Lepisosteus oculatus: one gene and its partner. The protein of the gene in region 1 purifies or fractionates together with the protein of each later gene. This does not show direct contact. Links are inferred from orthologs where the notes say so. Each region holds a gene or a part of one and is shown on either strand. Other genes may lie near its edges. The genes, in order: gli2a and sufu.

The links.
Region 2: the proteins of gli2a (region 1) and sufu purify together in Homo sapiens (affinity purification with mass spectrometry; 3 studies listed by BioGRID and IntAct, with this or other methods). This does not show direct contact. The link is inferred for Lepisosteus oculatus from reciprocal best matches to the Homo sapiens genes GLI2 and SUFU.

The regions. Positions count from the first base shown.
Region 1 is NC_090707.1:4,049,844-4,053,760, forward strand, and holds the start of gli2a (zinc finger protein GLI2a), read left to right. Parts: upstream 1-973; 5' UTR 974-1,096; coding exon 1,097-1,111; intron 1,112-2,894; coding exon 2,895-3,042; intron 3,043-3,917. UniProt on the Homo sapiens protein: Functions as a transcription regulator in the hedgehog (Hh) pathway. Functions as a transcriptional activator. May also function as transcriptional repressor. Requires STK36 for full transcriptional activator activity.
Region 2 is NC_090699.1:45,292,035-45,295,951, reverse strand, and holds the start of sufu (suppressor of fused homolog), read left to right. Parts: upstream 1-1,158; 5' UTR 1,159-1,173; coding exon 1,174-1,313; intron 1,314-1,466; coding exon 1,467-1,640; intron 1,641-3,917. UniProt on the Homo sapiens protein: Negative regulator in the hedgehog/smoothened signaling pathway. Down-regulates GLI1-mediated transactivation of target genes. Down-regulates GLI2-mediated transactivation of target genes. Part of a corepressor complex that acts on DNA-bound GLI1.

The DNA of each region.
Region 1 (3,917 bases):
TCACGCTACCATTGAAAAGCAAGTTTAGGCACAAGTTAAACGACTCTAGGGCTGTCGGGTGTTAAATGATTGTACATTATAAGTTATAATGTATTAGACATTATAATGAAAACGTATCTTTTTGTGAAAGGGACATGTTTAGAAGTGACCCAGTTACACAGTTACTTCAGTTTTTGAGAAAAAAAAACAACAAAACCATGAACACTGGACTGTTGCATGTGAAATGTTTACTTTTAAGGATTTTAAGGATTCAGTTCTTAAGTGTAAAGCAAAGCTTAACGCAAACTTTTGATATGACATACTGTATTAAACACACCTAGTCTTGTTCCACACTGATGGGTTTCCCACGCCGGTGTCCAACAGCAGAAACAGAGCAGTCCCGGCCTATGTTTAAAATAACCTTGACTTCTCTCTGGTAATGTCAATTAGCTCCTCAAACTCGCCTGCGAGCCGTCTGAAGCAGCGAATGTATTACCCTACGTCCCCAGGATTACTTATGCAAAACATCACACACCTAAAATGTCATTTAAAAAAATAAAAGGGAAATGTCTAGGAATCGTTACTTCATTCAAAACGCTCGCCTAGCACGATAAAATCCTACTGCAGTTTTGTCAGGTGTAAACTTTTTAGTTTTTCACCGCTGTAGATCTTGTCTTTTATCGTTGCGTTTCTGTCAGGCGTGAACATGGTTTGGGGAGTGTAGGTGGTTGTTGTTGTTAAAACTGCGAGCTCCCCAGCGAGTGAAAAGCTGTGCATGAAGAGTAGTTCACAGAGAAGATGCTCACAGCTGTAACGGCCCGCCGTGTAAATTAGGGTACGTCTTCGTTTTAAAAAAATGACTCCCACGTATTACGCCCTATTACGTACGACATACATACTTACCTCTGAGTTGACCAGCAAAGTTCAGTGCGGCTCTCATCTGTACGGTTGGTGCAGAGCTGTCCTGAGCCGAGATCCCCTCACCTCGCACCTCGCACCTCGCACGCTGCTCCCTCCCGTAGGTACAGGGCGCGTCTGAGGCACAACGTCCAACACACACCGCTGACCGCTGCTGCAAGTCCGCTGCCTTTGTTCAAAAAATATTGGGAAAACACGAATGAACTACGGGTTGGTGAGCGGAATACAGAACGGATAACGCGCATTTTAAAGTCTGTGTTTTCTTTTTTTTTTCCTAATTAAAAAAAAAGCAAAATGATCAGAATTATATCGACTCTGAACATATGTACTCAAAGACTTAATCGTTACAAGGTCTGGGTTCAAGGTGCAGATTCACGGAGTAAACGCTCGTGGAAAGGAATACGCTTGTAGATAAAGCTTTTAATTCATTAATTTCCTTCTGAAATATAACTGATACTGTACAGTTGGAAACCACGGGGTTTCCATTGCAAAGCTAAAACTTCACACCACAATCTTCCGCATGTCTGTCTCTGTACCTGTAGCTGTGTTTATACTTGAGGACGTTCTGTTTATCCCAACCCTTTGACAGCAATACGAGAAAAACTGAATAACCTGTCAGTTCTGTTCCTTTTACTGCGCTTTATTTCAGGTTATGATCCAAATACAAGCTGTTTTAAACACGCAAAGAGAGAGCGAGGATTCTTCTGAAGTAACAAAATAAGTTTGACTTGCTCCGTGCTGCAGTCTAAATGAAAGGGGGAGAAAACACACAAAGCTGAGAAAATCCACTTAAAGTTATATACAAAAACTAAGCCCCCTTTGAAATGAAAAGTAAACGGAGCCTGCAATGCTGGGGTAACAGAAAAGGCCCTGGAATGGAGTTTTCTTTCAGGCAAAAACCACCACTTGTTTGCGCTGCACCAAGGATAATCTTGTAGGTTCCACAAAGTTAAACAGCCGACCTGCTGCCAAGTCGGCATCTATTTAGATGAGGATGCAAACATGTTAATAGACGGAGTGGAAGATCGGCAGGCAGGGTCTTGTTCTGTTAATTGCTTTGTGGCATTTTGCACATGCCTTCTTGTTTAATTAAATACCTGGTTGGATCTGGGTTCTCTCAGATATATCACATTAAAATTGAGCAGAATCAGAGGATGTTGTTTCTCGGGTAATTTTGAATACTAAGGAGTGGGGAGCATAAAGTACTGTAGGAAGTTTCACTTAATGAAAAAATGTTATCTGTTATAAGTGTGCTGTTTTTGCCTGCAAGTTTTAGTTGGTTTTTTTTTGTCCAAAGTTATGTATAGTCTCTTTGTCTCTTTGGTCTCCTAGGGGGTATAATTGATGTTGTTCTAGTATAAGGTTTGGCAGTGTGACTTAAGGAACTGTTTCATTATCTGACTTTTAAAACTTGTACTTTTTGCATCTCCGGGATCTGATGCAGTACTGTGAAAACCGTGCAGTTTGTGGATACAATGTCCTTACTTTTCTTTTTAAAAACAATTAAAAACTTTGCAACAATAATTTGCAACAGTATTTTTACATCTGCAGTGGGCAGTACAGGTGTTATTTTGGATTTGTACAAAATATTCCTTATTATTACCGAACTCTTCTTTACTCTGGAGTGCTTACCTTTACCATGCTGTTGGTCTGTTAACATGCAGTCAGTCCCACCAGGTTCACATTGTTTTCATCACAACTGATGGTGACATTGGCAGCTCCCTCTACTGGCTCCAGTGAGCAGTTCCTCTTCTCCTCTCTCCTGTGTAACTAGTCCCAGGGACACCGGTGCTCCAAGGCCCTGTTTTCAAACTTGTTCTTTAGGCAGCATTTGAGTAAACCGATTAAAATTGCTTACTTTTAACAAACGCCGATGTCTCGCTTCCTTCTGAAGCTCATTTGCAATGCTGCAAACAAAACCTTTGAGCACTAGTTCCCACTGTTCAGCCAGCATGTGATTTATCTTCAGCTTGGCTGTTTCCTTCTGTTTTGTGCAGGTCTCTGTCACTGCTGAGGTATCGTCATCCACGATGGAGACTTCAGCACCGACTACGGCAGAGAAGAAAGATGCCAAGGGAGCAAGCATAGAAGGAAATGGCTTCCCAGAGCTGAGCAAAAAGCCCTCTCCTTCAGCCATAGCAAGAGGTAAGGTACATCGGTGTCTTAGAACTAGGACTTCTTCCTTTCCGTTTTTAACATTCTTTCCCCACTTCATTATTTGTGAGGTGTACCAAGGCTCAGAGCAGCTGACCCTTTGCCTGAAGCATGAGTGTCAGTGTCATTCACAGGAGGGGTGTGCCTCACAGCCAGCCAGCGAAGACTGTAAAAGAAACGCCAGCTTGATATGTAATGACACAACCTAAATATCTGTAAAAAATACATCCAGATCAGGATGTTCATGCTTTATCTCAGGAGACACTGGCCTGACAGTTGTGCCTTTAAGCGGATGTAGCTTACACTGCAGAACTGATGAGGATTATTATTTATATTAGGTGATAAAGTGGAGCATTGTGCTTAGATTTGCAATTTTTTTTTCCAGTCGTGCACAGGCAGTGCCACCAAATTGTTCTGTTTGTTTGCAGTTTTTCAGCGAACTATGTTCACACCACCGTTCGCTTGCTCCAGAAATTCCACCGTCCTCTGAACTACAGTACATAAAATGCAAGACTTCACAGTACCTGCCTTCTCCTGCTAATTGTACAGCTGCACTGGACTTGGTTGGGAAACCTCAGCTAAGAGTTCGGGGGGACTGTGGTGTGGAATGAATAAGTGTTTCAAACAAAAAGTTTGGAGCTGTAACATTTTTAGAGGTGTGTTTATTTTGATACCAATCAAAACTAATTGGCACTTGTCCAATAAGAGTATAAAGACAGATGTTTTATACATCTGTATATAGTTGTATCTGTTGTAGATGTTTAAGAGATGTCAGTGAGTGCATGATGAAAGAATTGTGTAATGAGATTTAAAGACCTTGTTCTTACCTCTAGAGTATAAAAAGTAATAAATTACTTAAAACAGCT
Region 2 (3,917 bases), on another chromosome or scaffold:
CCTTAACTGTGTAGTGTTGTATTAGACATGAAAGGACGCTGTCTGAAAGTGTTCCGCTTTTTAACACGGAGATGTTGGTTTGCTCCAAAGAAGCATCGTGTGTTATGGGACAAAATACATAACGTTTATGAAACGTGTCTTAAAGATTGTGCACTTGTTCAAAACAAACTGCAGTTCTGACTGCAGTTTAACTGCATTAAGTTTGCTTTAACAAAAAGCATTAACGCAGTGACTGCATTAACCGTCAAACGGGCTAGGTGAGCCTCTCATTCATTACTTCTTGTGATACTAGAGAATTAGTTTCTCTCTTGAGCAAATCAACAACCAATATCGTAGCAGTATCAAACAGTCATCCGCAATATCGACCCCTGTGAGGATTAGGAATAATATATATATATATGTAGTTTATAAAGTACTCCATGAGTCATTGCCCTGCAGCTCACAACTGGCAGCCTACTGAAGCTTATCAGGTGTAAGCCTGGTCAGTACCTGGAGGGGAGAGCTCCTGGGAAAAACTAAAGTTGCTGCAGGAAGTGGTGTTAGTGGGGGCAGGAGGGGGCGCTCACCCTGCGGTCTGTGACGGGTTCTAATATAGTACATAGTACAGTATAGTAACGGGGACAATATACCGTAAATATGCGCCGTCCTTCGGATGAGACGTAAAACCGAGATCCTGACATTCTGTGGTCATTAACAGTCCCAGGGCGTTTCTCGAAACGAATAGGTTACCCCGGTGCCCTGGTCAAATTTCCCACTGGTCTTTACCAGTCAAAGCCTCCTAATAATCCCCATCTATGAACTGGCTTCATCACTCTGTTCTTCACCAAGATGATAGCTGGTGTGTGGTGAGTGTACTGGTGCACTATGGCTGCCGTCGCATCATCCAGGTGGGGCTGCACTGATGGTGGTGGTGTAAGCGCCTTGAGTGGAGTGTCCAGAAAAGCGCTATGTATGTGTAAGGAATTTTTATTACTTTTTTAGGGGAAGAAAGTCTATGTCTATCTGACATGATTTGCGTCATAGACAGGAGTGTCCGTATGCGTCCACTAGGTGGAGCTAAGAGTCGGGTTTAGAGAGAAGCACTGGTTTTCCCAGCGCAGCGCCCCCTCCAATCCCAAGTACTGTCGACAATCCCAGCCCCCAAACTCCTGCGGTGTGCCCGCCTCCACGCCGATGAACACCCAGATCAACCAATCATTGTCTTATGATGGCAGCTTTCCCCACCCACCCCAAATGCTGATTCGCAAGACAAGGTGTCACTCAAGAAGTGCTCGGACGTTCACTGGAGAAGCAACAAGCTGCTCCTCGCTGGGGTGAGAAGAGGGGGGCAGGTTTCGCGTTTTCATCTAGCGAAAACAGGAGACTCCAAAATAGACATAGCTGGGTTTTGGGAAGGGGGGAGCGGTAAATTGCAAACTTTGTGTCAGTGGAAGGAAAGAGAGAGCCTTGCTCTGTTTTTTTTCCAGCAGCCCCCGGAGCTCGGTGTCGGGGATGGATGATTTGCGGCCTAGCGGCGGCGCCGGAGCCCAGGGACTGGCGTCGCTGTTCCCCCCGGGTCTGCAAGCCATTTACGGGGAATGCAGGCGGCTGTATTCCGATCAGCCGAACCCGCTGCAAGTCACAGCCATCGTAAAATACTGGTGAGTGTTGCCTGCAGCAGCCAGAACACCAAGCCGATGCAAGACTTTTTTTTTGTAAAACCTTGAAAGGAAATGGGGCTAGTTTTGTGCGTTTGACTTCATTGAGATTAATATAAAGTTTTGAACGGTTCAGCCGTAATCTGGCCAGTGAGGAGGGTCGCAGTGCCGTGCAGCTGGAGTTCGGGGGTTATTTTTTTTGTCATTGATGTTGGTTACACTGTTAGCGGAGCTGTAACTCGCGGGCTGAACTTTCTCACTTTCGTCCTTGTGGTCGATATAGACAAAGTTTTCACGGTGAAGGGAACCCGTTTCGAGTCTCGGGGATAAGTAAGAGCACAGTGATCTCCCCCCCCACTCCCGGGCGATAGGGGTCCCAGACCCGTAGGTACTGTGATGGAAACAGCTTTTCAGGGGGCTTTCCTTTTGACAACCCCCCCCAAATCTGTGGACATTGCACAGAAGCCCTTCACCCCATGCCGTGTAGGCAGCGAGGCCATGAGCTCTGGAGAGAGTAGTTTCGAGAAAGAGAGAAGATGCGACCCCGGAGCGGAGAGCTGGCTGTGTCTTTCAGGGCTTTTCTGTCAGGAGGAGCACTGGTCTGATTTCCACAGCGGGTGTCCTTTACAGACCAGCAGAACCGTCGAGCCTGGCTACATGCAGGGTGACAAGTCGGTGTTGAGCGGGTGGTAGAGTATCATCGCTACGCTAGGGGCATCAGCGCCACTTCTCTCGGTTGGTGTTTGCGCCGTATACGGGCTCAAGAATGGTCCCACGGTTGCTTTGAAGTCCAGGACTGTTGATGCTCACGGTGTGTATACTGTAGGTTTCCCACGCGAATACGTGAGGGATTTCCTTTCTCTCGCCACATGACGGTACAGAACACGCTAAAAACTGTTTGAACTGATGTGTGTGTGTGTGGAGAGGACTGCTGTGTATGCGGGCAGATGTGATCCCTTGCGCGTCAGTGACTGACAGGGATCAGGCTGAGGTCTTGAGACAGGGCGCTGTTCTGGTCCGCTGCCTCACCGTCATGCCCTGTACCCAACACATTTTCTGCTCCCGCAGATGCTGATCTCTTGTGGTTTGGTTAGGTACTCAGTTGCAGCCAAGTTTATTTCTGACTGAGTCACCCCCGTTTAGGTTTCTGAATGTGCCTACACATGGTAGATAGTCAAATTTGCTTGTTTTTTTTAACTTCTATTGCTCCTATATTAACTTCTATATTTCTATTTCCTAAGAAATATATTTGAGTATAAATAGGGGTGCACTTTATAAGAACGGTAAAAAATTACTATTGCCTTAACACATTTTTTGTGTTAACACTTTTTTTTTATAATGTCACCAATGAAAACCTGACTTTGTGATTAAAATTCTTTCAGTGGTTGTCTGTTAGACCAAAATTTCAGAAGGAACTCATTTTGGTAAAGTGGATATTTATATATTTGTTTTTTTATACACCAATGAGGGAAGCAAGTGGCTATAAATTGCATAATTTTGAGTTTCATACTAACATTTACAGAGACATTGTAAATAAATTCAGGATGCATTTGTCATTACCCGTTCTTTCAGGTGACGTGCTGAAGACCAGGGAGATTTAGGCTGAGGTAGAATTATTCAGCCACAGTAAGTGGTCTGGCGGTGGAGTAGGTGGTGGATACCCTTTATGATCAGGGCTAGAAAGGAGATCATTGATGACTTCAGGGAGCTCATGAGAACTGTTGGTACTCAACAGGGACTGTAGGCACAACAGATCTTGAGATCTGGTCTGGTGTAGTGAAGAGAGTGTCTGGTGAGCATTTCTTCATGTATGAATAAAACACATGCATTACAAGAAGATGCAGATGGACACCAGTGATTGACTTTGACTGCTGGTGAGCAGCATACCTGACATGACTAGGTCAACGAGACAGACTTTATTTGTATTTTATAGATGGAGAAGATCAGTAATGTTAGGTTAAAGTGATCTAATTCACTCCTCTCCTCTGGCCTCTTCTGCTCTCTTCTTGGATCTCTCTCTGTCACAATATTTGTGCCAAGAGGGTAAAGTGTAATAGACTTTAATATTCATCCCATGATAACGGTAGGGATGGGGAGACACAAGTATGCCGTGTACCCTTCACAGGGGTGTCTATAGTGTGATGTATGTGTTGGGTTTGGGGATCCGTAAACAGGCGTCTGTGATTGGCTGGCAGACTGGGACTGTGGGTGCGATTGGCTGGCGGACTGGGACTGTGGGCGCCTGCGATTGGAGGTGGTTGCCATTTAAGTTCTGTGCTG